4 linked regions of the Diceros bicornis minor genome follow. The protein of the gene in region 2 interacts with the protein of the main gene of each other region in a biochemical or structural test. Links are inferred from orthologs where the notes say so. Each region holds a gene or a part of one and is shown on either strand. Other genes may lie near its edges.

What was found.
Region 1: of the proteins of HTRA2 (region 2) and CSN2, one has a biochemical effect on the other in vitro, tested with the Homo sapiens proteins (2 studies listed by BioGRID). The link is inferred for Diceros bicornis minor from reciprocal best matches to the Homo sapiens genes HTRA2 and CSN2.
Region 3: of the proteins of HTRA2 (region 2) and MAPK12, one has a biochemical effect on the other in vitro, tested with the Homo sapiens proteins (2 studies listed by BioGRID and IntAct, with this or other methods). The link is inferred for Diceros bicornis minor from reciprocal best matches to the Homo sapiens genes HTRA2 and MAPK12.
Region 4: the proteins of HTRA2 (region 2) and LATS1 form a complex in vitro, tested with the Homo sapiens proteins (2 studies listed by BioGRID, with this or other methods). The link is inferred for Diceros bicornis minor from reciprocal best matches to the Homo sapiens genes HTRA2 and LATS1.

Annotation. Positions count from the first base shown.
Region 1 is NC_080747.1:56,461,056-56,468,009, forward strand, and holds the start of CSN2 (beta-casein), read right to left. Parts: upstream 3,017-6,954; coding exon 2,966-3,016; intron 2,223-2,965; coding exon 2,196-2,222; intron 2,086-2,195; coding exon 2,041-2,085; intron 690-2,040; coding exon 645-689; intron 1-644. UniProt on the Homo sapiens protein: Important role in determination of the surface properties of the casein micelles.
Region 2 is NC_080751.1:14,486,809-14,494,422, forward strand, and holds the start of HTRA2 (serine protease HTRA2, mitochondrial), read right to left. Parts: upstream 3,001-7,614; 5' UTR 2,913-3,000; coding exon 2,407-2,912; intron 2,303-2,406; coding exon 2,098-2,302; intron 2,009-2,097; coding exon 1,814-2,008; intron 1,572-1,813; coding exon 1,485-1,571; intron 1,307-1,484; coding exon 1,201-1,306; intron 1,079-1,200; coding exon 1,009-1,078; intron 333-1,008; coding exon 237-332; intron 130-236; coding exon 1-129. Other genes in the region: lipid droplet-regulating VLDL assembly factor AUP1, read left to right, coding at 3,295-3,344, 3,425-3,562, 3,642-3,792, 4,001-4,185, 4,446-4,518, 4,619-4,692, 4,935-5,004, 5,103-5,205 and 4 more; ATP-dependent RNA helicase DQX1, read left to right, coding at 7,185-7,421.
Region 3 is NC_080764.1:545,542-553,314, reverse strand, and holds the start of MAPK12 (mitogen-activated protein kinase 12), read right to left. Parts: upstream 3,006-7,773; 5' UTR 2,986-3,005; coding exon 2,861-2,985; intron 2,781-2,860; coding exon 2,651-2,780; intron 46-2,650; coding exon 1-45. Other genes in the region: MAPK11 (mitogen-activated protein kinase 11), read right to left, coding at 6,498-6,577, 6,908-7,081, 7,166-7,244, 7,701-7,773. UniProt on the Homo sapiens protein: Serine/threonine kinase which acts as an essential component of the MAP kinase signal transduction pathway.
Region 4 is NC_080778.1:28,144,488-28,151,512, forward strand, and holds the start of LATS1 (serine/threonine-protein kinase LATS1), read right to left. Parts: upstream 3,006-7,025; 5' UTR 2,832-3,005; intron 1-2,831. UniProt on the Homo sapiens protein: Negative regulator of YAP1 in the Hippo signaling pathway that plays a pivotal role in organ size control and tumor suppression by restricting proliferation and promoting apoptosis.

The sequences.
Region 1 (6,954 bases), on a different chromosome or scaffold from region 2:
TTAAACAAGCTCTACTACTTAATAACTGTGATATTGTCACACAATTGTATATTCAATTGTTTTGTGCCTCATTTCTCTCATCTTTTTAATGAAAATACTTTTAGGAAATTCATGTATTCACAAATGTTAATATAAATCCTACAAAATGTTAATGTGAAATCATTCAATATTCATTGTGTGTGAGCTTATTAACCCTACGAGGGTTATGAATGGTCTCAGTTTACAGATGAAGAAATTGAATTACAGAAAGAGTTGGGCCAATGTTATACAGCTGATAAATGATCAAAGTGGGATTTATGCCATATGCCTTTCTACCGTCTTTCATCAGCATATCCATCTTGAGAATAAGAGGAGCCTAGTTCACAACTTAGAATTGTCTCTATTAATATTTAATGAAAACAGGTATACCATTGGTAAAATGAGTAAATCAACAGCTATTGTTAGATGTTTATTCTGTATTCTGGAAGTTGATAATGAGTTTAAATAATGCATTTACATCTTAAAAATATATTGACTTTGTCAATGTTTCATTTCTTATATTGTCATTTATGTCTTTACCATTCTTCAGACTGAACATATACATAGTTTTATACGTGTTATATTTCGTAATAATTTTAGAAATGTACTCATCATGAACAAATTACCTCTCTTTGCTGTTGTTCTTCATGTTTAAACTTCTGAAGTTTCTGCTAAAGAACAAATCATATATAAAGAAATGTTACCATCTGTAAAAATTAAATATAGGAAACTTTGAAAATATGTACTTTTAATATGAGGGTTTTACCTTGTTGATGTGTTTAATTGATTCCTTCAGAAAAATAAAAATAAAATTAGGTTTAGTTTTAATGAACAATTCTTATTTGTCAATATAAATCAGAAAATGAAGGCATTTAATAGGTTAATGTGGACACCTTGTTTGATAATATTAAAAACTCAGGATAATTGCTGAAACATGTGTTCTGTATAAGCCCATTGTATAAAAAAAAAAAGACAGATGAATGCAGTCAAGAGAGAGAAGACAATTAGTAAATGTAATACAAAAAGAGGCATTTAATAGATGCTCTCTTCCTATGACAACAAATGGTCTCTAATATCTCATCAGATTCTAAAAGAACAGTATTCATTGATAATACATTGTAATAGCCATTGATCCATTCTGTTAATCATTCTTAATTTACTTGTTGTATTTAGGCTTCAAATGAATTATAAGAAACAAATACATCTCCTAAGAATCTGATTACCTTTGTGAAGAGACAAAGTATAATAATGTACCATTTAACTAACAGGTGATGACAGACCCAAAAAGAATGATGCAAGGGTAAATAACTACCTGACTCTCCCGGGCAGATTTAGGATGACACTAAGTTTCACTGCCTCTTATTTACCAAAGTAACTATTGTAATTACAAAACGTATCCATTTGCATGTCTGCCCTCCCACTACATTGCGAGCTCTATACTATGGGCATCTCTCTTTTCAGTTTGCACCACATCTCCTACTCAATGTCTGATGCACAAAGGACACTCAATAAATGTCAAAACAGTGAATGATGTCAGCGCAGAGAGAGCTGGAGACAGAAAACAGCACTGTACAGTTCATTTTAAAAAAAGAGGGCAGGGGCTGGCCCGATGGCTTAGTGGTTAAGTTCATGGGCTCCGTTTCGGCCACCCAGTGTTCTCAGGTTCGGATCCCGGATGCAGACCTACACACTGTTCATCAAGCCATGCTGTGATGGTGTCCCACATACAAAATAGAGGAAGATTGGGACGGATGTTGGCTCACACCTAATCTTCCCCATTAAAAAAAAGAGAGCACAGTGACACAATTTCAAGTAGCAAGCCAACTTAGAAAGTGCTAGAATACTGAATCTTCCAGACATTTATTCTGTCCTTAAATATATATCATGGAAGTTTACATCAGAATTTATATGTCAGAACATAGCTGCATTGGCTTAACTGCCCTAATGTAACACAATAGAAAGATAGCACAGCATTTACTCTTCCAAAATTGGGAGATTGCCTCTGAATAAATGTTGTCTTACCTCACGACTTGAATCTAGTTCATTGTTTGAAAGGCGTTCTACAGTCTGTAAAGGAAAAACAAAAACCAAAAAATCAACAACCACCTTCTCCTAGATCACCAAAGAATGTTACTATTTTATGGTTGGAAAATTTTCTCTGAATAAAAATATCTTACCTCATTGGATACATTAATTTCTTCCTTCTGTAAAGAAAAAAAACACCATTTTAGTTTCTATAGCTAACTCATTATTGAACATTTTTCCTACTTGATTTTTACTTTCTTTATGTGGAGCTATCTCTTTCACAAACTTGAGAAAAAATGTTATGTCTTTTGAGAGATTTGAAAGGTAATTGTTTTTATGGTTTTTATATTTAGTAAGTTTTGATTGGCATATTTTTATTTTACCTGAATGAAGAAAAGTTTTTGATAGGTAACAGAAAAGAAGTTATTTTAGTTTGTATTAAACACTTTTTATTATGATTATGAATACGTTTATCATTATGATTACTGCATGATACTCCACCTTCTGTATGTCTTTGGATAGACACAGGTAGGATTTGGCTCACTGCCCTAGGGTATGTATATTTCATCACTAGAATAAGATATATTTATCTAGCTTGCACATGCATGCAATTGTATTTGTGAAATATTACTCTTTTTTGTGGTTTTCATAATTGTTTCTTCTTGTTTTGTTTGTTGCTTATTGGTTTGTTTGCTTTTCCTTTAGGGACTCGTGGCACAGTGGCGTAGAGAGCATTTGACCCAAATTTGTAGCCCTACTATGCACTGTTGAAGTAGTGGGTAAATGTAAATTATTTTCTTAGAAATCAGAAAAAAATCTCTTGAAATTCTGCTTTATTTGTACATTTAAAATATTGGTGATGTTGTTCTCTACACGTAGGCAGATAGTTCACTATATCTTAATTATATAGAGATTTTCTTACCTCCCGTGCAAGAGCAAGAGCCACCAGGCAGGCAAGGATGAGGATCTTCATGGCTATCAAGTCCTGTGAATGAGGAAATGAGGGAATGGTAACATATTGGTCAATCTAATATATTTTTTTGGTTAGCTAGGGTCACTTCACTTTCCTTTTAAAGAAACCAAAAATAATGTATAGTAAAAATGTCTGTGTTTTAGAAAAAAAATACTAATAGGAGTTTTATCATGCAAACAAGTTCAGAATCTACTATGGCTCCTTGCCCTTACATATCAATTTCGTACTTTTTTGTCAACCATTCAGATTTTCTCAGGTATCGGCTCTATTCTACCCTCTTTTCATCTCATTCACACTTTGTGGGATTTTTTTTTTTGAAAGACAGTAAAGAGTTATAAATATTTACAGAAAGTTTATTAATTGATTCTTATCTCTAAAATATTTTTTACCATCTTTTATTGCCAGGCACTGTCTAAGTGGTAGGATTACAGCAATGGAACAATTAAGGTCTCAGCCCTGATAGAGCCTCAGTTCTTTTGGGAGGAAACTGACCAAATAAGGTTCACACAAAGAAGAAGATCATACTTTATTTTTATCTTTCCTCTACTAAACTAAACAGTTTCCATTAATATTTGGTTTAATCATATCTCCTTATTTCCAATAAGACTGAGATTTTCATTTGACCATTTCCCTTATTTACTCCACTTATCCAGATGCTTTCTTGGACCGATTGGTTTGCTTCTTCTCCATTTATACCCACTACTCAGTCTCATCCCCACACACATAGTGATGTCTCTTCTTTGTGCCACATAACTTTAGAGATCATAAACTATGCTTCTTTTTTTCTCTCTGATCTCTTGATGATTTACCAAAGGGTCAGATTCTCTTACCCAATCCCCACTCCAGGCTACTCCTTCTTGTAGCATAACATAAAATATATGTTAATACTTTTGACCAAAATGTATTAAATGTTTGGTTTTGTTGGATTTCTATAATTTCTTGTAAAAAATGATTTTTGTGCCACCAATATCCCTTGACATATAATCTTCAATCTCAATTTTTTAAACTAAATTTCTGAAATAAAAACATTTTATTAAAAAAGTCCCTAATTCATCAGCAAAATTTCCTTTCCAATATTAGAAGGCTCTTTATTAGAGAAAAATTTTTTTTCTGGATTTTTCTCATGGGCGCTATATAATTCTTTATTAATTTTACTTTGCATAAGACCTCCATAAGTTTCCAAATAATTTTTTATTGTCAGACTCAAAAAAAGAATATAGTAGTCTACTATAGATCATTACATGTAAGGAGGATCCCACTGCATTTTCTCTATTTTATAATTAGTATTTTATATACCAATTTTTAAACCAGAACTTCATTATTAACTATTATATTCTAAGCTACTCTTTCTTTCAAATCTTCTCCTTCCTTTCTTTTTTCCAAGTCATCTCCGTACCATCTAGAATTTTCTTACAGAGTAAAACACTTTGTTTCTTTTTAACTTAATTCTATATTTCATGTATCTATTTTAATATTATTTTGAAATATTATAAACTAAATGATAAAGTGGGAAGGTGGATGTTCTAATCTAGTTTGAGGAATACACTCTTCTTCTAAAAAAATCGTTTATAAACATTTCAAGTAGTGCATAGTCCCAAACAACTCCTTCAATTTCTTGATTCAATATGCTCCATCTATAGACTACCTGTTGGATAAAGTTTTCCCAGTAATTATTCATATCTCCAAACAATGATTTAAATATATTTGCTTTTATGGCCGTGGTAAGTTTAATCAAATTGGAAGAGATTTTCAGGGAAGAGATCTTTTAATATAGCCTGTTAACTAGTCCTGTACTATAAAAATAGTAATCACTGTTACTACATTTTCTTAGACTCATAAATCTTATACAGTCATTGCAATTTTTACCAATCTATAGGTACTTCTATTTTTTTTAACCTATGTGTTGAAAATAGTGCCAGCACTATTTTAAAAACCCTTATTTCAAAGACTATATTTTAAGCAATTATTTTCTTCATATATCTCAACTTAGTTGGAAATAAAAGTGAAGGGGGGACATATCAAATTTATATCTGAAATTCTTACCTTTTTCCAAGGTGGAGAACAAGAAGCAAAGGAGGAGATAAGTGGATGATGGTCTATCTGCTTTTGCTGCTGTTTATATACTACATTTAATGCATGCTAATTTTGTGGTTTGAAATAAAATCAATAGTGAGTTTGAATTCCAAGAAGTCCACCTAATTAGAAAATGATTTCTATCTATTATTTGTCACCAGAAGTTCTGGGGAACAATTTAACAAGGGAGCAATTCACAGCTAATAAAGGAAATTTGTCCAGGAAATGAAATTGTCTAATAACTAAAGACAATGACCAAAGGATAGCGAGACTCTAGCCCAGTCCCCAAGTTATTGTGGACACCATTAGGTCTCTTTGGCACTAGGTGGGTCTTCAGCACCTCAGTTGTGGGGGAATTCTATATGAGCACCAGAGATACATGGGGCCTTCACAAAGGACACAATTTCATACTAACCTGAGCAATTATTAGTGTTTCACGCCGCAGTAAAAAAGCTGACAAGATAACAAGACCATGATGATAGCTTAGTCATGTAAGGCAAACTGCTTAGCTCTCAGGGCCACTTGATTTGAGAAAAATAAATCATTCACTTCAAACCAATATTTTGTAAACAAGAATAATAAACCTTCCTGTAATGGAACGTCTCAGAAAAGTAATTTGGCAGGCTTTTAGAGGCAAAATCCTTAGTAAATATGTTATAAAAGTTTTGCAGAATGTCATGGAGTGTTATTTACCTGATAAATATTGATTAGCTTTTCTATTTAAGGCATAATAATTATAATAGCTTTTTAAAAAATTTAGTAACAACCCGACGCCAGGCACTGTGCACTTTACAGACATTGTCTTGTACAATCTTCACAAAAATGTCATGAGGTACCTCTTTTCTCCAGATTTCATTTGAATAAATTGAGACACCAAAAGGTTATGTAACTTACTCAAAATCATATTGTTTGTTAATGGAAAAATCCCATTGAAAACCAGATCTGTCTGACTACATATTTGATCTATTTGATTATATGCAGTGCTCATATTTTAACTCCTTCAGAGTTTGTTATAAAATTTAGCTATCAATGTAGCATTTGGGCTTACAAGTGCAGAATTTAATTATGCCTAGATTAGAGGAATGGAGCATTGGTGCTGAGTGTGGGCAGGATCAGCCAGTCATTAAGGAGCTAGTATTTTAATTGAATCTCAAAAGAATGAGTAGAATTTTGAAAGAAGATTAAATGGGAATAAAGCATTTTGGCTGAAAGAAATACAGGAGCTTGAAGAGCAAAATACCAAGCTTTATGGGTTCTGTATTTTAGGATACATAGAGGATATAGAGCCAGCCCTAGTGGTTTAGTGGTTAAGTTTCAACACTCTCACTGCCACAACCCATGTTTGTTTCCTGGTGAGGGAACCACACCACCCTTCTGTTGCTGGCCGTACTGTGGTGTCTGCATGTTGCTGTGATGCTGAAAGCTAGGCCACTGGTATCTCAAATACCAGGAGGGTCACTCATGGTAGAAAGATTTCAGCAGAGCTTCTAGAATAAGACAGACTAGGAAGAAGGATCTGGCCACCCACTTCCAAAAACTTGGCCGTGAAAACCCTATGAATAGCAGCAGCCTTGTCTGATATAGCACTGGGAGGTGAAAGGATGACCTAAAATGATTGGGCAGGTTCTCCTAGGATTGATAGGAGTTGGAATCCCCTTGAGGACACTAAAAAAAACAAAGAGGATTTAGAGTATAAGTTACTATTGCAGAGGTTTGATGGAGTCAGATCATAAATGTCTTTGATTTTCGATTATGTAGAGTGACATAATTCACTGGAATTAGGGGAAGATATTAGAGATTTAAAAGAAGGAACGATCATGAAATTCTTGGATTTTATGTCTTTATGGCAATATTTCAAGTAACCT
Region 2 (7,614 bases):
GTTTCCGGTCCCCGCCGGATCCGCACTGCCAGCTGGGATTGGGTTCGAACAGCTTCATAAATATCTTCAGCATTTTGTACCAGCTGCTCCCCAATAGCCAAGATCACATCACCTGGCCGTAGACCAGCCCTATGGTGAAAGACAGACAAAGAGAGAAAGGAGGGAGTAGCCAGCCCAGTTCAAAGGCACATGCACACCTCACCCATCCGCACCTCCCACTGCAGTCTCTCCCTCACCGGTGTGCAGGGGAGTCCAGGATGACTTTATGGATGAGCACACCATGCTGAACATCAGGAAAGCTTGGTTCTCGAAGCTGTAGCTCAGCAAGGATGCTGAAGGGACATAGATCACCTGGTTAACCACACCAAGGCACTCTCCCCATCTTGGATTCACCTCAAATCTCTCATCAACACACTGACAGCTGTATGGACAGGGCATGCACTGGGTACTCCAGATACAAAGGCAATTCACTTTCTGCTTCTGGCAGTTAGGAAACAGGACATGTATATAAAACATAATTAATTCCAAATGACACAGTGTTAAATCAATAGCACTAAGGTCAGTCTAGAATCCTAAGAGAAGCTTTAAGGAGGGAGTAGAACTTAAGCTGAGCCTAGAAAGATGGGTCTGACATTTAACTATAAAAACAAGAACAACATAAATAAAAACATGGGAGTAGGAAATCAGGTTGGCTGGAACAGAGTATATTCACGTAGGAAGGTTGAATTAGAGACAAATGGAAAATGGCCCCTAAACACCAGGTTAATGGATTGAAGGTCAAAGCAGTAATGAGATAAAATAAATCTGGTGGCAAGTGTGCAAAATGGAGTGGGATGAGAAAGTCAAGATGATGAGAGAGGACAGCTCTTCTGATAGCTCCACATGTGAGGCAACTCATCTTAGATAAAGATAAAATTGATAGAATAAAACAAAGCTCAACAGAAATGCCAGCTGCCCACCACCGAGTATACTGGTGGTCCTACATGTCACTACCCCTAAAGCTCATACCTGGGAGTCAGGGTCAGCATCATCACCCCAATGTAGCGGCGCTGGGACCCACTGATTCCAAGATGAGAATCTGTGATAGAGGGACAAATGAGCCCCACCCAGCTATATCCTTCCTTCCCTTCCCCATCCTCCCAATAAACCCTTCTCCAGTAAGGTCCAATGAATGCCCCTTCCCCCCTAAGCCAGACTCACTCTTCTTTTCTCCACGATGCAGAAACTCTCGCAGGCGATCAGAAGGGATGGCAAAGGAGATCCCAGCTGTGACCTTCATGGTATTCACCCCAATCACTTCCCCATCCTGCAGGGACAGAGCCCACTATTCCCTAACCCCAACAAACAGTAGGAGATGGGGGTACCTTAACAAGCGTAGCTGGGAGTGTTGGGGAATTGGGGAGATCAGGTTGGATTCTGGGAGAAAGCCTATAAGAGACTGCTCAGAAACTTGACCAAACATTATTGAATTAGGGAAAACCTACCATTCCACACTGACCTGGGGCAGGGATTCTTGGAAAGAAGGATATCCCACTCACCAGGTTAACCAGGGGACCTCCAGAGTTTCCAAACTGCAGGACAAGAAGAAAATATGGAAGAGATCCAGGGACTCTATGCCTGGGGGCATAATCAGGATGTCCGCACTTTCTCCAAATTCTCTCCTTTCCCAGCCCATAAATGAGTGGCCACGTTTTTTGCAGCCCAACCTCTGTGTATAGCCTTATCCACCATCAAACACAGTTGGTGCCTACACCACACAGTATCTCTCCTCTCCCCCAACCTAGTTTGTCATTTCTGTCACATCAGGACGCACATCAATGGCAGCATCAGTCTGGATGTATTCCACATTGGTTTGGGGGAGGCCCAGGTCTCTGGCTGGACGCTGAGCAGAGCTGACGATGCCAGATGTGATTGTGTTCTGCAGTGCAAAGGGACTTCCCATGGCAACAACAAACTCCCCTTGCCGGACATCAGCTGAGCGTCCCAGGGGCAGTGTGGGGAGAGGCTCCTAAGGGAGAATGGGTACAAGAGAGCTGTCATCTGGAGATACGAGCAAATTCACAGCCCCAAACAGACCCGGCCTGGCCGGACGCCCACCTTAGTCTGAATCCTCAGCGTGGCAATGTCTGCGACGGGATCCACAGCTGTGACCACTGCCTCATACGTGTCGCCGCTAGGCAGCCTCACACGGACTCGGCGCCGATCAGCCACCACATGGGCGTTGGTAACGATGAGCCCGTCGGCAGCCACCACGAATCCGGAGCCATTCGAGATAGGGACTTCGCGGCCAGAGAAAGGGTGCCTGGGATGCGGGGAAAGCACGGATGTGAGGGGGCTCGGACCTCTCCTGCTCCCCCCGCCCTCTAGCCCGCGGCTTCCATGCCTCCTGGTCTACCCCACCATTACCGGCCCAAGATCTCGATATAAACCACGGCAGGTGCCGTCTTCTCCACCACGTCTGCGATGAAGTTGTACTGGCTCCGGGGAGAGGTGGGCGGCGAGCCGAGGACCGAGGCGAGGACGGCCGGAGGACCCCGACCCCCGCGCCACAACAACAAGAGCACTGCCCCCCCGGCGCCCAGCGCCACCGCCAGCCACACGCGCAGACGGGTTCCAGGGGTCCCTGAGTCCTCCCGCGTCCGGGGGTCTGGGGTTCCCGCAGTCAGCTGTGCTCGGGAATCTGAAGTCCCCGATGTCAGACATGTCCGTTGTTCAGGGACCCCCACAGACAACCGGGCCCGGAGACTGGGGGTCCCATAAGTCACTCGGGCCCGAGGGTCAGGAGTACCTGACGTCAGCAGGGCCCGGAGGTCAGGGGTCAACGGGGGTCCCTTCCCCCAGCGAACCCCCCCCAAAGCCCGCCATCCCCGTAGGCTCCAGCCTGCACCCTGCCCCGCCCTCAGTGCAGCCATCAGCTCCGCCTCAGCTGCCTCCTCGCCCGCCCTACACGGAGGCGGCGCCCTGGACCCGAGCGGGCGGACAGCGGGACGCGGGGCACGCCGGTACCTGAAGTCCTCCAGAAGTGCACGCCGGGACCCAGGATTCCAGGAGGCCGGCTCCGCCCCCGCCCCGCGACTGTCGGGAATTGTGGTCCCCGCAGGACTCAAGTTCTGAGGTGGCCCGAGGGCCCGCGAGGCATGCTGGGACCGCTAGCCCTTCCGGGGCGCCTCAGGATTTCGGGTCCGGGCACCCTGGGACGATGCCCTAAGACTCCGCCTTCCCAGGAGCCCCTGCGGCGGGGCGTGAAGATGGCGGCGGCGGTGGAAGGGGCCCGACACCCCTAAAGTATTAGCGATGGAACCTCCCCCGGCGCCGGGGCCGGAGCGGCTCTTCGACTCGCACCGGTAAGAGTCCCGGCGGGAAGTGGCCGGCTCCCGTGTCCACTCGGCCTTCGGCGGCCAGTCACCCCGCTTCTCGCCCCTAGGCTCCCGGGTGACGGCTTCCTGCTCCTCGCGCTGCTGCTCTACGCTCCTGTCGGGTTCTGCCTCCTCGTCCTGCGCCTCTTTCTTGGGATCCACGTCTTCCTGGTCAGCTGCGCACTACCAGAGAGCGTCCTTCGCAGGTGCTGACCCAGGCGCTCGGGGAGGGTCAGGGCTGGGTCCGGCCCGAGGCTGTGCAGTCACCACTGCCTGTGTCCCTAGGTTCGTGGTGCGGACCATGTGTGCGGTGCTGGGGCTTGTGGCCCGGCAGGAGGACTCTGGACTCCGGGATCACCGCGTCAGGGTCCTCATTTCCAACCACGTGACACCTTTCGATCACAATGTAGTCAATCTGCTCACCAGCTGTAGCACCGTGAGTGGGGGGCGAAGCCGAGAGCGCCACGGGGCGGTTCTCTGGGGCCCAGCTCTTGGCTCCCCTTTGCCCCTCTGCCCGCCCGGGTTTTCCTTGGGGACCACAAGCTACTGAGCCTTACTCCTAATCCCGCTTCTCTACTTCATATGTCAGTTTTTCTCACTTCCCAACATTCTTTTCTCTTTGCTTTCTTTTCTCCCGTTCCCAGCCTCTACTCAATAGTCCCCCCAGCTTTGTGTGCTGGTCTCGGGGGTTCATGGAGGTGGATGGGCAGGGGGAGTTGGTGGAGTCACTCAAGAGATTCTGTGCTTCCACGAGGCTTCCCCCCACCCCTCTGCTGCTGTTTCCCGAGGAAGAGGCTACCAATGGCCGGGAGGGGCTTCTGCGCTTCAGGTGGGTGAGCATAGGTAGCAGTGTCCAGCTGGGTGGTGGGTGGTCAGGCTTGGGGGCCCTTGGGTTTTAACAACCTTCTTCAGCCCTACCCACTCCATTCCTAGTTCATTTCCTTCCTGTCCTGTTTTAGTTCTTTACCCGGAAATTCTTTATTCTCCATTTATCTACTTGTACAGTTTGACAGTTCCTGTTTTAAGTCAGGTATGAACTGCTGCCTGGAGTGGCTGGAATGCCATCTTACCCTCTCTTCTCTCTTCTAGTTCCTGGCCATTTTCTATCCAGGATGTGGTACAACCTCTTACCCTGCGAGTCCAGAGACCCCTAGTCTCTGTGGTGAGTGCGTGTTGGACAGGGAATCTCTGGGTCTTGGAGCAGAAGTTTCCCACTCCTGGCCCTGGCTTCATGAAGACCTCACTTCATGCCCTCCCCTCAGACGGTGTCAGATGCCTCCTGGGTCTCAGAATTGCTGTGGTCGCTTTTCGTCCCTTTCACGGTGTATCAAGTAAGGTATTAACTGTCCTCACTTTATGGTGGCTGGGAGACACTCACCTCAAGGTCAAGGAAGTAGTTGCCTCTGCCCCATCCATTTGCAGATCTTTTAATATCAAGTTGCACCATAGAAGCAATACAAAGTATTGACTATCTCCCCACTCGCACCACCACTTTTCCATGAAAAGTATCAAAGTGAGGAGAAGGTGACAGCCTCTACCCCGGGTGTCCCCAAGATGTTCCTGGATTGTTTTTTGCAGGTGGCTCCGTCCTGTTCATCGCCAGCTGGGGGAGGGGAATGAGGAGTTTGCCCTCCGTGTACAACAGGTGGTAGGATACACAGGCGGGGTGGAGGTGGGGTCTTTCCTTAGGTGGTGAGGGAGGAAGGCTTGAAACCTTGACACTTCCAACCTTCCAATTCTCCCTAGCTGGTGGCCAAAGAATTGGGCCAGACAGGGACACGACTCACTCCAGCAGACAAAGCAGAGCACATGAAGCGACAAAGACACCCCAGATTGCGCCCCCAGTCAGGTGGGTGGTCTCTGTACACAAAGCTTTTTGGGTTTTTTTAGCTTACTGTGATTTCCCCCTATTCCTGTGCTAGTCAGCCTCTCCTTCCTCCTAGTTCTCCACTCACCATATTTCGGATTTCTTTTTTGCAGCCCAGCCTTCTTTCCCTCCCTCCCCTGGCCCTTCTCCTGATGTGCAGCTGGCAGCTCTGGCTCAGAGAGTCAAGGAGGTTTTACCCCATGTACCACTGGGTGTCATCCAGAGAGACCTGGGTATGGGAAAGGGTAGCCTCACACAAGAAGACAGGCACAGAAAGGAACAGTGGGTGGTGAGGGGAGAAGGTGAGCAGAGAAACAGACTCCCCTCTCCTCTCTTCCCTTCTCCCCAGCCAGGACTGGCTGTGTAGACTTGACTATCACTAATTTGCTTGAGGGAGCTGTAGCTTTCATGCCTGAAGACATTGCTGAAGAGACCCAGTCGCTTCCCACAGCCTCAGCCCCCAAGGTGAGACCCAGAAAATGGTCAGGTCCAAGACTTGGGGTGGGATGGAACAGTCTAAATACTCCCTAGCCCTGATGTCTCTTTTTCGATCCTGAGACCCTAGCACAGTGCCTCTCTTGTAAAGTAGGCATTCGATGCGTGTTTAATGATGATGACTTCGCAAGCCCTCTGACATTGTGATCACCTCAGTTCCCCAGCTCTGGCCTGGTGACCCCTCAGCCCACAGCCCTAACATTTGCCAAGTCCTCCTGGGCCCGGCAGGAGAGCCTACAGGAGCGCAAGCAGGCACTATATGAATACGCAAGAAGGTGAGGGGCTTAGAGGACAATGGGTAGTAAGGGGCAGGTTGGAGAAGGGAGCTAATTATGGGGCCAATATGGCAAAGTCCACACAATGTCTTCTTATGTCCTGTAGGCGATTCACAGAGAGACAGGCCCAGGAGGCTGACTGAGCACAAGATGGCACCCAGAGCCGCAGGACGGAGACTGGGGGCAGCCCTTACCCAACTCACGACAGGCCGGATGAGTGGGTGGTAAAAAGGGAGGGATGGGGCTCCCCCCAGTATCACATTAAATTCAGGGTTTTCACTCAAGGTCTCTGTTGCCTCTCTGGGTGTCAAAATCCCCCTGAGCAAGTTCCTTTTCCATTGGTTGGGGGGGATGAGTTTGTCGGGGAGTGGTCTGAATGGAACTGTCTGAAATCACCTCCTCGTGTCAAGAGATGAGTGATATTAAGGAACTGTAACTGAACTGAAGACTCAGGAACAACTGGACCCTAGCTTGGGTGTTGAGCCCTAATTTGTGAAGAAACAGCTGCAAAACTGCAAATCCCAGGATGCTTTTCACTAACGAGCACAGTACACAGGTGTCTGTAAAGTTCACACATGCTCAGTGTGGTGGTTGGAGCCTTTTTCCATAGGCTCCTGACTAGGTTAAATAAGGTGGAGCAAATGGCCCCACCCCAAAACCAGTCTTTAGGGTTCAGGGTTTGAGCCAAGCCCCAGGGTGGAGCCAGAATTTACCTTTGTACTTCATGCGGGTCAGGGTTGGTGGTAACTGCCTGGGTGGGTCTAGAACTGGCTGCCATCCTGACACGTCTCAGAGCTGCAAGCAGGTTTGAATCCAGGGTCCTTGTGGCCCTGTTCCTTGGTTCCTGCCCCCCTCCTCCTCTTATTCTTTAGCCTTTTCCCCTGGGGACCTCCCCACAGGGTACCAGGTCTCATATAATTCCTGCTGCCCCTGAGGACCCCTGTGGTAGTCACAGGATTTTTACTATCTGACTACAGGGTAATAGTTCACTTTTGATACTCCCTTACTTGGAGACTCAAATCTCCACTATTTCCTGGCAGGCAAGAAATGTTGGGAAAGATGGACTCCAGTACATTATCACGTGAGGGTACAGGTTAGGGATCAGGGCTGAGGTGGGAGGATGGTGTTAGCCACCAAATATGAGGCCTTAATGACTGCCCTGCCTTCTGTAGGTCCTGCCAGTCAGCCACCATGGCCTCTCAGCTTCTCGGGCTGGCAGAAGAGTCTGGCCCAAGCCCTGGGGAGTCTGAACTGGCTGTGAACCCCTTTGATGGGCTCCCCTTCTCTTCCCGCTACTACGAGCTGCTTGAGCAGCGCCGAGCCTTGCCCATCTGGGCTGCTCGCTTTATCTTCTTGGAGCAATTGGAGAGTAGCCCCAGTGGAGTGGTGCTGGTGTCTGGAGAGCCTGGCTCTGGCAAGAGCACCCAGGTCAGGGGAGATTCTGGGAGTGGACAAAGGGAGGGGCTAGGGAACTGGCCCTTCCCTGGACAAGGAGGGATTGGGCTACAAGGGATCATAGAGGAGGTGGGCAAAGGGAGACTGCTTAGGCTGGCCCAGGGTGGCTGGTAGAGGACCAGGGGACTCCCTAAATAAAGAGAGAGTAAACTGGCCATAGCTCCCC
Region 3 (7,773 bases), on a different chromosome or scaffold from region 2:
ATCCAGGGTCTCGTCAGGAGTGAACACGTCCAGCAGCCCGATCACCTGGGGAGGGGCCGGAGCACCAAGTGGGATAGGGACACAGCGGAGGGCGCGGGAGCTCGAATACACCTCTGAGGCTGATACGGTGCTCAGGCAGGAAAGCCCCCTGCAGCTGTACCCGTCTCCCCCTACTGCCTGGCTCTGCCCACTGGCAGCACGACCCGGCCTGGCACACATGCCCACAGACACAGGCTATTTTTGGATGGTGACAGCTGGGATCCTCTGGGGGAGGGGCAGCCCCAAGTCTGGGTCAGCTTCCAGCCGTCCAAGGAGCTCCAGCCCCTTGACCCTTCCTCCCCCTTTTCCTGTCCTCCTTGAAGACCCAGGATCAGGGTGGGGACAGCCCCTTGGGGGAGAGCTAGAATCTGGCAGGTTCTTCCTTTGCTGGAGAGGCCCAGGCGGGCAGCACTATGACCAAACCCCTGACCCCAGAGACCCCTGGTCAAAGGTGATGGACAGCAGACAGGTAATGTGACAACTGGCCCCAGGGCTCAGAGTGACAGGGCCTCCAGGAACCCAGGGAGGCCTTCACATCCGAGCGGTTGGCAGGGGGGACACCTGGCAGAGGTCATGTGGATGGTGGCCGAGGCAGGAGGGAGAACACTTCGAGCGTTTGAGGAACATGGGGAGGGAGGCCAGGTGGCCGAGGCCCAGGCCAGGGAGTAGCCAAGGAGAGGCCAGAGGGAGCCGGAGGAGGCCCTCACAGCCAGGTGAGGCTTGGCTTCCATCCTAAGAGCCACCGAGGAAGGGTTTAAACAGGCATGATACTGAATGTGTCTCCCTGGCTGCTGTGTGGGGGCAGACCGGAGTGAGGTAAGAGTGAACGTGAGGTGGAGGAACAGCTAGATGACCATTGCAGCCACTGGGGCCAGAGCCATGGGCAGCAGGGGAGGAGAGAACAGAGCAGGACATCCAGAGAGGGGCCTGGGGCACTGGGAGGGTATTGTAGCAAGAGGGAGGAGAACAGAGGACCGGATCCCCGAGATTAAGGGGATTGTCAGGTTGACGGAGACTTCTGTGCCTCTGCGGTGCAGATCGCAGCAGAAGTAGGGGAGAAGGAGAGGGAGAGGCTTGAAGTGGAGGGCGGAAGGGGCAGGACTAGAGCACGTGGCAGCCGCTCCACAGCCTCTCAGAGCCTGTTTCCTCCCAAGGAAATGGGTTCACAATAGGCCAGCCTCCCAGCTTGTGTGTGGGGTGCCTGGAGGCAGTGCTGGGTGCTGGCGGGTGAGGAGCTGGATGGGGATGGTAGGACCCACCGCACAGTGGGGTGGCCCCAGCACAGGCTGGGGGGCAGGCCCCAGGAGGGGGCTGGGCCAGATCAGGGGTGGGAAGCAACTGAACAGAAGGCCCAAAGACCCTGCTGGATGAGAAGGGTGGGTGGGTGGGAGTGAGGGGCAGTAAGGGAGAAACCGGATGAAGCCTGTCTGCCCTCACGGGGACAGGCCTGGGTGTGACCAGGAGGTAGTGAGGCCAAGGCTGGGCTGGGGTCCACCATGAATGGATTTCACCTGGGAAGAGATAAGGGCGGAGACGGGCAGGCTGAGAGAATGAAGAGCCAGCCAGGGGCTAATAGGGTGGGCATGGGCATCAGCCAGGAACCAAGGGGACAAGTTTCCGGCTGGACACAAGGACTCATTCCCTCCAGGGAGTGCTGGCGGCTCTGATGACCCGGGAGGAGTCAGACCACCTGTGGGTGCCCAAACCACCATGCCTCAGACTGGGCCCAGAAGTGGGGTGAGACAGGAGTGGCTTCTGTGGGAGGGGGCAGAGGTCATGGCCGCAGGAGGATTGCATCAAGAAACAACAGGAGCTCCCCTGGCGGAGAGAAGGGCTCTTAGCAGCCAGCAACAGCCACGAAAGAGGCCCATGGCAGCTGTGTCCCACGGGCAGATGTGGAAACAACTGGTAAGCGCCCAGATCTGTCCCTTCCCCACTGTCCGTGAAGCCCCCATGGACATGAAGCCAGCGTCTCTGCGCCCAGTGCCCTCCACACATCAACTCTCTAAACCCTTTCACCACCCCAGACCCCAAGGCTCCGAGGTGACAGCCAGGATGCTGACTCCAACACTATGCCTGCTCTGTGTTCCCAGGGCCCCAACTCCTAGGGCTGAGGCTCAGGAGGTAGACTGGAGCAGAGTGGGTTCAGGAGGGGCTGGACCGGCTGGAGAAGGGGGCCTGCGGTCGGGCAGCGGGGAAGAGGATAAGTGCCCCTTCCAGGAAAATCGCTCCTCTCCCTGGAGCGTCCTCTAACTTCAGGCTCCTGGCTGGAGGCAGCGTTTGGGTGAGACATGGATGATCCGCCTGGGCAAGTGGCCGGCCCCTGACCAGAGCCTGGGCTTAGGAGCCAGATGCGGCCCCAGGAGGAAGCCAAGGAGCTAAGTCCTGCCCAGGGACTGGCCTAGGAGGAGAGGACCAAGCCCTGGGGCAGCAGTCTCCCTCAGAGAGAGGAGGGGCTCTGCCCTCACCAACTGGAGCCGCCCACCCTTCTCGGGGACAGTGCCCTGACACCCGCCCCACGGCACAGGGGGACGCCTAGGAGCCGGGGAGGAGGGCGACGAGCGGCGCCGACGGACGCGGCGTCCTGAGCCCAGGACCCCGCGCGACTCACGTTCTCGTGGCGCATGTGCTTGAGGAGGCGCAGCTCGCGGTAGGCGCGCTTGGCGAACAGCACGGACTGGAAGGGCCGGTACAACTTCTTGATGGCCACCTTGGCGCCCGTGCGGCTGTCCACGGCCGAGCTGCGGGACGCACCGCTTAGCGGTGGGAGGGAGGGAGGGCCGGGTCACCCCGCCCAGCCACCCGCGCGGCCTGCGCTCACCACACGGCGCCGTAGGCACCCGAGCCCACGGGCTGCAGGTCCTGGTACACCGCGCGCACCTCCCAGGCCGTCTTAGTCACCTCTTGGCGGTAAAAGCCCCTGCGGGCGGGTGGCGGAGAGCTCATGGCGGCCCGGGCACCGCCCCCGCCGCAGACCCCACGGGCGCCGCGCCCCGGGACCAGGAACCGGGATCGGCGGGCTCCCTGGGCGCGCGCCGCGGGCCACCGCGCGGGAGAGCCGGTTCCACGCCGCCCGCCCGCCGCCGCCGCCGCCGCCGCCGCCGGGCACTGCCGCTCCCGGCTCTTCCCTCCGGGTCGCCGTCCTCCAGGCTCTCCCGTCCCGCCGACCCCGGCCCGACCCAGCCCCAGACCGCGTAGCGCGCGGCCCCTCCCCTGCCTGCGGACCAACCGGCCCCCGGGCCGCGCGCACGTGACGCCCCCGCCCGCCCTCGGCCCCTCCGGAAACCCGAGGCGGCTGTGGCCCGGGAGCACCCGAGACTGGGGGGAGGGGACGGAGGGGGAGGGAGCGCCGCCCCGAAGCTCAGTCCCAGCCTGGAACCGGACCGGAAGGGGTGTCGGAGACCCCCGGCTCGCCCCCGCACTCAGGCTGAACCCCCGGGCCCGCGTCGGGGGTGTCTTAGCTTGGGGCTCCTGTCTCCTCCTCACTAACCATGCCCCCAGGGCGCTGGGCCCGTCTTGGGCAGCCTGAGGCCGTCGGACTTCTATCCCCAGCCCTACGCCACTGTCCAGCAGCCCGCCAACTTCCACCCCCCCACACCTGAGCGCCCCCCACCCCCGCCTGATCCATCCATTCCCCAGTGTGAGGTCCCCAGCACCTGTGGGGTCCGTATGGGAGAGCTCGTTCTGTCTCCCAAACTTAGGCTGCATCCCCAACACCCCTCCCTGTGACCACAGACCCCAGGCCTCCCAACCCCAGGGAGCCAGAGAAGGTGGTCCTGTAGGTTCCCCTTGGGCCCTGTGCACCCCAGCTCCCTTCTCTCCCCCTACTTGGCATGTGGGGAGCCTGCTGCGAGCATTCGCAAGTCCCTCTGCGCGTCCCAGCCCCTGCCCAGCTTATTCCCTCCTGTTTGTCCTTCAAAGCCCAGCCTGAGCCTCTCCGCTCTCTCCAGGAAGGTGTGCCTGACCCTGCGGGTGAAGGAGGGCCCTACTGGGCCTCTCAGCGCCCCCTTACCCCTCAGTGGGACCCATCCTGGACCAGATGCTCCTGGAGATCAGAGCTCCCAGCCCCCTGCCACATCCTCCCCTAGCCCAGCGATGGGGGTCTGAGAAGGAGTAGGGTAACAGGATTCCCAGGGCCCCCTGTCCCGCCCTCTGTGCCCTGCCCAGCTGGCTGCCATGAATCAGCAGCTCAAGCCTGGCCAGAGCAGCTTTACACCTGGGCTGCTGGTTGGTGAGGCTGGTGATCCAGAGCCCTCAGGAGTTGGAGGTCAGTGGAGGCAGCCTGGGGTCATGGGAGCCACAACCGCCTGTACCCGTGCCCTTCATGCCCTGGACTGCCTGTGGCACTCTACCTGCCTCCTCCAGGAAGTCCCCCAGCTGGACCCCTTATTCCCTGTGCTGGGGCCCAGGGTCCAGCAGGGTTGCCTATCAGGACACACCGCCAGATGGGGCTTGTTCCCGGGGTTCTGCTCCCATCCCCCACCCCACCCCCAGGACTTGGCCCAGCCCAGTCTCCGGAGGTTCCCCAAGACTTGAGGCCCACTAGCCACACTGACCAGGCCCCTGGAGGCCCACTTCCCAGATAGTCTCCACCACCCAAGACCCAGGGCAGGGGCACAGAACGTCCCTTTCCTGGGGACACCCTGCCTGATCTCTGTCAGGACTGGGTCGTTGTCCCCCCCGCCCCCCAAGCTGCAGTGAGCAGGAGGTCGAAGGCTGAAGTGGCCCTCTTTCCCCTTAACCAGGAAAAAGAGGAAAGGTATTTCCCCCACCCAGCCCAGCCCAGCCCAGCCCTGGGAAAGGCCTTTGCTTCCAGAGACCCCCAACTGTCACCCAGTGGCCACCCTGACCACTGAGTCGAGGGGCAGTTCTGCATCTGGACCAGACGCCAAGCCTGCCCAGTGAATCCCCAGCTACCCTGCTGGGGTCAAGTTGAGGGTGGCCATCATACCCTGTCCCCCTCAGAGCCCACTGGCCTGGGTGGAGGACTCACCCCCACCCCCCACCCCCAGGTCTGCCTGGGTTCTCAGGGAGCAGGGAGCGTGCCGAAGATGGCTGCTTGTCTCACTGGGGGCCCAAGGGATCTGGCTAGTGCAGGAGTCTGGTGGGGCCAGGCCAGCTGGAGGTGTGATGCTCGGAGAGCCAGCCACCCACTCCAGGCAGTGGGGAAAGAGGGGCAGCAGGGCTTGGAGCCTGGGACACAAGCTGAGCCAGAGGGAACCCCCTTTATTGCGAAACCCTGGTGCAGGCACTTGACATTCAGACCTCCCTGGTCTTGCCAGGTGATAGGTCACCACCTGACAGAGACTCACACCCACAACACGTGTGGAGCAGGGTCCTGGCCCAGAGGTTAGTAGGTCAGCTCCATTCTGGAAGGAGGGAAGATGAGGGCAGACCCTCAGACCAGAGCACCCCAGCTCTCAGCTGCAGGGCCAGAGGGCGGGCAGAGGTAGAGCAGGCAGAGGCATCTTCATCAGTCAGGGCCACAGTCCAGGGTCAAGTCCAAGTCCACATCGGTGTGTGCCCTCCTTCTTAGCATCCTCAAGGTGGGAAGCCCCGTGCCCGTCAGCTCCCCAACTCGCACTGTGCCCCATGCCTTGGAAACCTGGTGCAGCTCCCACACCCAAGGAGAGAGCCCCGGCTCTTGCTCCCGTGGTTGCCCCTTCTCCACCGGAGCCCCTCTCATGATGCACAGTGGGATCTCAGCCCCACCCCCACCCCCCAGGCATCAGGAACAGTGGGGAGGGGAGGCAATAGTACAGCCACCCCAATTCAGGCCTCCTGCCAGTCAGGCCGCTGGGCCTTGGGCACCCACAGGTGCACATACGCCTGCATGTGCCTTGAAGTGCGTCTGTGCCACACACAGCGCAGGTGAACATGCAGCTCAGGTGGATTTTCTGATTTGACACCTGGCAGCTGTCCCCGCCCTGCCACCCCCCAGGAAAGACCCTGCTCAGCTCTCAGACCATCAGGTCTCAGCACTTCCCAGGGTAGTGCCCGCTTCCAGGCTGAGCAGCTCTGACCGCTGCGACCCCTCCCTTTGAGTCTCCAGGGGGCCCTGACGCCAACGCACCACCCCCAGAGACAGCCCTCCAGGACTAAGGAGATCTGGAGACAGACACACTCCCCAGGAGAAACCCATACGGCATCCAGTCCCCCAGTGAGGTCCCAAAGGAGACCCAGGGTGCTGGGAGGGGGTAGAAGGACGGTGGAAGTCCAGGACACTCTGCCCAGACTCCTACACCCGTGGCTCGCACGCATGCACACTTGCATGCATTCACATGTGTGTGCAGACTCCCCACAAGGAGCAGTGTGCAGACGGGGCGTCCCTGGCCAGGGATCAGGGTTGCCGGGCCATCAAGGTGGCGCCCCTTGTGGGACCCCAAATGCTGAGGAAGGGGGGCAGGCAGGCTCAGGCCCCTCGTTGAGTTTGAGTGTGGTGATGGGCAGCATTCCCCTCACTGCCCAGTCTCCTGGCTGCCCAGCGGCTGCGGTGGCTCTGGGGGCTCGAAGCTCAGGACTTCCTGGTAGGTGAGCTCTGAGGGGTGAGGGGAAGGAGGGGAAAGGGTGAGCTCATGCTGCCACCAGCCCAGCACCCCTGCCCAGCTTATCTGGTGCCAGCTACCCAGCCCAGGACCACCGTCCTCCGAGAGAAGCCTCAGCTCCTGGGCCTCCTTCCAGAGCCTGCCCTGTGCTGCCCCCAAGCCTCCGCTGGACACACCCAACCTCATCTCTAGCTGTCCCACCAGGGCATCGGGCGGGGGTGGGGGGGGTGCGGAATGTTGTCCCTGCTCCCAGACCCCCTGGGGAGGAATGCAACCCTGGGATCCTGGGCTCCACCTCCCTCCTCAGCCCTCCTCAGGCCCACCCTTCCACTCCTCCACCGTGCGCTCCTTGGCCTCAACACTTTCGTCATAGGGCTCGGCCTCGGGCTCATCATCCGGGTCGTGGTACTGGCTGAAGTAGGCATGGGCCAGGGCCTCAGCTGCACTGATCCTCTGGTCACTGTCCAGCACCAGCATCCTTCCCAGGAGGTCCACGGCTGCAGAGGAGCCAGTGTGGGGGGGTCAACTCTGCATCCAGGGCCAGACATGGAGCCCAGCCCAGACCCCAAGCCCATCCTCACCCAGGGGGTTGGCTCCACGGAAGATGCTCCTGAGGTCCTTCTGGGGCATGGGGGGCAGGGACTGGATGTACATCCGGGCCTGGGAGCACATGGGAAGGGCCTGAGGGGGCTGCTCACCCCCACACCTCCCCTAGCCCTAAGCCAGAAGGGGGCTTGCCAAAAGAAGCCCCAGACTCATTCACTCCCACAGGCCTGGGCAGGGGCATGCACAGACCAGAGACCTCCCCTGCTTTGGACCTGGGGGCTCCAGCTCCTCGCCTGGGCCTCAATGCCTGCAGGACCTGGCACGGTGCCGCCCACCGTCCTTGGCCAGGGCGCTGTTTGTCGGTGCTGCAATTCTGCCCTCGCCGTCCCTCGTGCCAGGAATGTCTTCCCTGTTCACCTGTGTCCCCCTGAAGGGGTCGGGCATCTTCCTTGGGCTCTGTTCCACTGTGACCTCTGCCCCCACATGGTGCTCAGTCTATCCCCACACTGCCCCTTCCTCCAGAGTGCCAGGGGCTTGGTCAGCAGAGGGAGCTGGTGTCCGGTGACTCACATGTTCCGAGGATATCTTCGCCAGAACCTCGGGGCTTGGTGTGCCCACCACCTCCATGATGCGCTTCAGCTGG
Region 4 (7,025 bases), on a different chromosome or scaffold from region 2:
CTAGCATTAACAAATCTTAGTCACCCTTGCTAATATGAAAATTCAAATTAATAATGGATAATTTGTTAAAGAACTCTTCAAAGCAAAACAGTTTAACTCTTTAACCCATGCTACACTGGTGCCAGATTAGTCTTCTAGAAAACAGTTATCATGTCACTTCCCTACTCTAGAGCCCTCAATGACTCTAACTTAGCAGTTGAAGTCAGAGCTCTGGAGTCAAACTGGAGGGTATGAATCCCAGTTCTATCACTAGTCAGCTGTGTGATCTCGGCAAACTGTGCCTCAGCTCCTTCATTTTCAAATATGGGCAGTAATGGTCCTATTTAATAGGGTTATTTTGAGCATTAAAATTAAGTAAGTTTAATACACATCAAATGTTTAGAATAAGTGCCCGACTCAATAACGGCTAGTTATTACCTTACCTCTTTCCATTATCCTCCCAGATTCTCCCCTCTGTACCTTATACTCTAACCAAGCCAAATGACTTGCTTTCAGCTAACATACCTTGTGCTTTTCGACTTTCATGTCCTTAATCATCCTGTTTATTCTTCTTGAGAGAGCCCCTGCCAAATTTCTTCTCATAGAAATTATACCCAACCTTTAAGGTACCATTCAAATACCTCCTTCACCGAGCTTTCACTGAACTGTCAGTTGTTATTCTTCTCTTCTGAACTCCAAATGTACTTTGCATGATCAAATAAAACTTACGTTTTTGCCCTATTCTTGTACTTGTCTTATTTTTCCTACTAGATCACAGATTCATAGAGCATAAGGTGTCTTACAGATATATATATGTGTGTGTGTGTATATATATATTTTTTTCCCCCCAGATGAAGTAATGGATTCAGAGAGGTAAAGTGGCCTATCTAAGGTCATGGAGCCAGCTGGAGGTCATGCTAGGAATGGACTTCACACATCCTGAACCACCCAGGGTTCTTCTCATCATACCTCCAACCTGACTCTCCTAAGGGCAGGGATCACGACTCACTCATTCTTTGAAGGGACACTTATATTGATTAGACTGAACAGATAAAACCTCCATCTCTTTGAAAGTTCAGACCTTCATCAAATATGCAAACGTCAGTAAATCCAAACAAATATTACTGATAACTTGTCCAACGTAGGGAAAAAACAGATACCATTACATAATAAAACTTCAGAGTATTACCCTGGGTTGAATCAGGTTTATAAAAAAGATGGCCTGTCTCAACGCTTTGACTCAATCAGTTATGGGAACAGCAACAGCAATATGTCTGGCTTTTTTCTTAGCAGCATAATCTTAGTTGTTCAGACAGCAATATTCAAGAGTCTTTGCCAAGTGAGGGCATTTTCTTCAATTCACTAAGAATCAATTGATCAAAACTGAAAACAATCACTATATTCTCTCTTCATGCTGAAAAATGACTGCCATTTCTACTTGATAAAAATGTTGTTCAAATGACGAAATAACTTTTTCGGTCTACAACCCCCCCCCCCCCACTAATCTAAACAACATCTAGAATGAAAACTGAAAAACCAGAGCTGGAACTGTTCTAAGGCTATATTTATATAGAATAACAAGGACTAGCATTAAAAACAAAAATAAAAACTCAACCTATAGAAGGAATTCCAGATATCATACCAAAAAAATGTAGCAGACGTATTTTTTATTTGCTTTTGGAGAGTGGCAAGGCATATTCAATAAACATTCAGAACAGAAAGAATGCACCTTTCCCAGCATGTGCCATGATCCAGTTTCTTGCAGTAGCAGCCGATTAGAGGAACACAATGCTGCTACTTTTACTGTTAAATCAGTCAAATTCCTCCACTGCCTTAGGGAATCAACTGGCCCATTTTACACCGTCTGTCAACTTATTAAAGGACAGAAATGACCTCAAATGTAGGTATTTTAGCAGAGAACAATTATTCCAATTATAATGTCCTATCTTTTCTTCCTCATGGAGAATTTTGATAAAAATTTTTAATCTTCAATAAATAATCCATACAGCCCCGACAAGTTTCACGATCCCGGGCATTCAACACCATTTCCAAAACTGAAGTGATACAATACTATTTGTGCGTAAGGCCACACGTATTTTTCACTAAATTTATGAACAACTTCCAGACGATGATATATATTTTAAGTCATATTAACATATGGGCCAAGAAACGTTAAACTTTGTTCCCTTAGAAAATAACTTTCAATTGGAGAAGTCAGAGAATGGGGTTAAATCAAGTCACCTGGGAGTCATTCTTTGCGACACAAGTTCTTCTTGAGATTATAATCAACAACGTTCCCCTAATTTTCTTTCCTTCATCTTCTGTATTTATATACACTCCTACTCCATAGAGACCCCTCCATCTCTCCCACCCCTTCCAACCAGGAGCAGTAACCAAGCACTCCAGTGGCCTAGACACAGAAGTTCCCAGGGTTTCTTCCAGGTCTGTCCAGGATCGGGTCCCCCCGGGACGCGAACAACTGTGGCTCTTCTGCTGCAGTTGTCCTGCAGAACCCCCGTTCGCTCCCTTCCTTCCAAATCACCGCTGTCCGGCGCGAGCAGGGGGTCGGGTGGAGGTGGGAGGGAGCAGTCCGCGCCGGGCCTGCGGACGGGCCGGCTCCTCCCAGCCGAACCCGCACCTCCCAGGCCGCGAAGCCCGGGGCTCTCCCTCCAGCCCGGGCGCGGCCAACCCCCGCTTCCCGGGGCCGGGCTCCGCTCAGGTCCGGCCGCCGGCCCGCCCGCCGCGGCAGCCCTGGACCCCGCCAGGGGCATGGGCGTGGGCCGGGCGGCCGCGGCCCCGCCAGCTCGGCTCGGGCGGAGAGCGCGCCCCACCCGCTGCGCCCGCCGACCTACCTGAGGGGCGAGCGGGGCTCCCGGACAGCGGGCACGGCCCGAGGCGGGCGCCGAGGCGGCGGGGGCGCGGCCCGGGAGGGACCCCGAGTGTCCCGGTGGGGCAGGGCGGGGACAGGCGCCGGGGTGCCGCGGGCCAGCGCGGCCCGTCGCGGGGTCGCGAGACCTGGCTCTCCCCCTAGCAGCAGGCCGCCGCCGCCGCCGCCGCCGCCATCTTGCCTTCCACTCGCAGCCGCCACCGCGCTCCGCCGCGGGGTTCCCGGATGTGGGCATTTCCCGGCGTCGCTTGCGCGGGGGCCGCGGCCCGGGAGCTCCCGCCCGCCCCCGCTCTCCGGCGGCCGCGCGCCCCTCTGCGGGCGGCGAGTGTCGCCCGTGCCCGCCGTGGCTGCCCGGGGCCTCGTCCCGGGCGGCGGGGTGGGCTCTCCCCTCCCGGCCCTCACGTTTCAGTCTCCCTCTCTCTTCACTTGAGCCCTTTCTGTGGACGGAGGTAAAGATGCGCGTCTCGAGGAGCTTGACTCCCCGAAGGAAACGGGAATGAGGCGCCCTCTGAGAGCTCGCTGAGGACTCAGGGGTCGCGGTTTCCAGAGGCTTTGACTTAAGTTGATTTTGTTGAGCACTCTTCCCCCGAGTAAATCCGTGAGCGTGAGTGTTTTCTGAATCAGCCAGATTAATATATTCTTGAACCCGGACAGATGAACAGAGTCTAGAGATTTTTAATGTCAGCCGAATCGGTGGAAGAGGAAGGCATTATTGTCATAACCGGAATAACGGTGACTGCGAGAAGAGGTTTTATTTCTTGTTAAGTTGAGTTGGAAGTTTGCGAAGGGATCTTTGGGTTTATGATGTTTGAAGGTACCGGCCACCCTTTGTAAAAGCGCCTCTGCCAGTTCTGCCTCTGGAAAGTATTTCCAGTTAGTATTTTCAAACATCTCCTTTCATCATTTTTCTACTAGAGACTGTCTATAAAATTTTTAAAGACTTCTTTTTTTTGATATTAAACTAGTTACTGACTACTGTATCCAGAAGTTCAAATTCCCTCTTAAAACCCCTGTTACGAAAACCTCTGTTAAAAGAAAAGGTTACATTCCAAGAGCACTTGGTTGAACATCTGTGTTCCACCAGCAGAGTTTGTAGAAGGTAGAGGATACGACCCAAGGTGCGCCGCTTAATAGCACTAGGTCTTACTTTCTGCCACTGAAAGACCTTGTTTTTCGGGTCTTTCTGACCCGAAAGAAAGACCTTTGAATCTAATATATAATCATATGAATCTAATATGTTCACAGGCCTGCTTGCCCTTTCCAGAAGCAATATGTATCTGGAAGAGCATACTGCCCTCAGAATCTTGTCACCTCTGTCACCAACCCATGGAACTTCTTCATTTCAGCTCTTCAATTCTTTTTTTTTTTTTTTTTTTGGTGAGGAGGACTAGCCCTGAGCTAACATCCGATGCCAATCCTCCCCTTTTTTCTTGAGGAACATTGGCCCTGGGCTAACATCCGTGCCCATCTTCCTCTACTTTATATGGGACGCTGCCACAGCATGGCTTAACAAGTGGTGTGTCCCTGCGCGCCCGGGATCCAAACCTGCCACCCCCAGGCTGCTGCAGCGGAGCGCACGCTCTTAACAGCTGTGCCACCGGGCGGCCCCGCTTCAATTCTTTTTAAGCCTAAAGGTGAGTATCTCCATAAACTACTATGTTGAGGGAAATTCCTAGATAATTCAAGGAGCTCAGTGAATTGCTCTTTCTAGGACTAGGAGGCTTACTCCTGTGAAGTAGGGGGAGAGAAGGGCAGAGAAAAGAGAGAAGAATTGACAAGATGGAAAGCAGCTGAGACTGCGGGTGGGCATGGAAGGGAAAGACCAGGGGAATAGTTTCTGGGGTGCTGGATGTCTAAGAATGGCAGTGCCTGCCATTGCACTTGAAGGTCTTTGTACTGCTGTGATGGAAAACCCTTGGTTTAGCCTCAGCATACTCAACTCCTCAATGCCTCACTGAAGTGGGGTTTTTTGGTTTCATTTTGTTTTTATTAACAAATGTAGGGGCCAGATTTCATGGTTGAGTGACTGTAGGGAGAGGGACAGTACACATGGAAGAAGTCTGGAGACAGTGTGGCCCTGAACACATAAGCCCTCCTGGGAATTCATGCTGCCTTAGGGGAAGGCTCTAGACCATGACCAGCCCACAGTTAAGGAGTGAAGAGTTGGGGCTGGCCTGGTGGTGCAGCAGTTAAGTGCACGTGCTCTGCTTCAGAGTACCAGGGTTCGCAGATTCGGATCCTGGGTGCGCACTGATGCACCGCTTGGCAAGCCATGCTGTGGCAGCGTCCCATATAAAGCAGAGGAAGATGGGCATGGGTGTTAGCCCAGGGCCAATCGCCCTCACCAAAAAAAAAAAAAAATTTTTTTTAACATGATCAGCAAATTCTAGTCATTCCACTTCTCCCTTCTCAACCCTCCCTCCCGTGGTTTTCTCCCTCTTTGTACAACTCTAATGTAGTGAAATGTTGGAATTGTTTTGATGCTAAGATGACCGTAGTCTAGGATGTAGCTGTTAGTTTTTCTGCATTGCCACTTAACGTTAATCATGGTTCAGAATGATACCAATGAAATAAGTTTCAATAGTTTCATATCGTTGTTTGGGTCTCCCCAGGTTTTATGTCTGTAGAACAAGAGCATCACTACTGCTTCATAATTAGTCTGAGCTAGATACCACATCCATACCATAAGCTTAAATGAAGGTTTGATATTAACTATACACTAGTGAACTTAGTATGCTTCTTGTGGTAGCTTTGTCAGCAAGATAAATGGGGTAGAATGTCAATAAATCGGTTTGGTTTACAAATATTTCTGTAACTGTAGCCAAATACCAATAACTTGTGTCACTGGTAATTTAGAGGACTCTAGGAGTGGGCCTAAGCCCTTCAGTCCCTTTAACTATCTCCTAACCAGTGGGATGAGAGTGTAGAAAGCATGCTGGGAAATTCTGAAAATAATCAGCTTCTACAGACAAGATTCAAAGGAGGTTGTTCCTTCTTTCCTATACTGAAATAAAATTTATCTTCTCGGAACGAGAAGGATGGACCTATAGCAAGGATCAAAACCATCTGCATTAACTCAAGAATATGGGAAGTATGGCTTAGGAGTATCATGTTTGAAAATTGAAGAGTTTCAGTTCAACTAGCAGCAGTCTAAGTGAACAAATGTCAGACTAGTTACAATAAGCTGAGACAGCAGTACAAAGGAATATCATACCCCAAATCAGGAGAGTAGGATTTTGTCATATTCTCAGCAAGGCTGACACCACCCAGAACAGTGTTCATTTTGGGAGTCACACTTTAAAGATGACCTTTGGCAAATGGGAGTATTTTTTGAAGAGAAAACAAGATTGTGAGTTTAGTTCAGTTCAATTTACACTGATTCAGTGCTTACTATGGATCAGGTATTTTGTTAAACATTGTTAATACAAAACTGAGACATGGGCTCTGTACTTGAGCTTGTGGTCCAGTAGAGGGAGCCAGGCTGCTTAACACAGCTGTAAGCGTATATACGCTCTGCACAATGGGCTTCTGAAGCAGAGTACAATTTAACTCAGATTGTCAGAGGCCAGGGAACGCTTTCTTGAGAACATGACACCTAAAAGGAGACTGGAAGCGTAAGCAGGATTTAGCCAAGAAAGGCAAGAAAGGCTGGGAAGGAACCTTGCCCACAAGAAACAAAAAGGTTTACTGCAAGGAAGCTACAATACGTAGTTTTGAATATTTGAATGTGTGATGAGAGGAATTAAATGTTTTTTGTGGCTCCTGAGGAAAGAAGACAAATGGAAGCAAATTTCAGTTCAGTATATGAAAATTCATTTATTTACTGAAACCTTATGGTAAAGTACCCCAACATAATGCAGATTTGATGAACTGACTTGGTTGTCTCGTAGTAGGTTCACGTGGTCACTTCGTTAACCCACAATGACATGATTCTACCTTTTTTACAGGATTGTTTTGGATCCCACTGACACACTAAAACACTGCTATAATGCTGTAACAATTAGAGTGGTCCAAAGGAGAGGCTGCACTGGGGAATGGGAAACTTGATCACAGTGTATTTCCAAGTAGACGCTGGATGATAATTTGTTAGGAATGCTATGGAAAGGATTATTAAATTTAGGTTGGAGATGCCCTCCAAGGTACCTTCCACCTCTGAGAT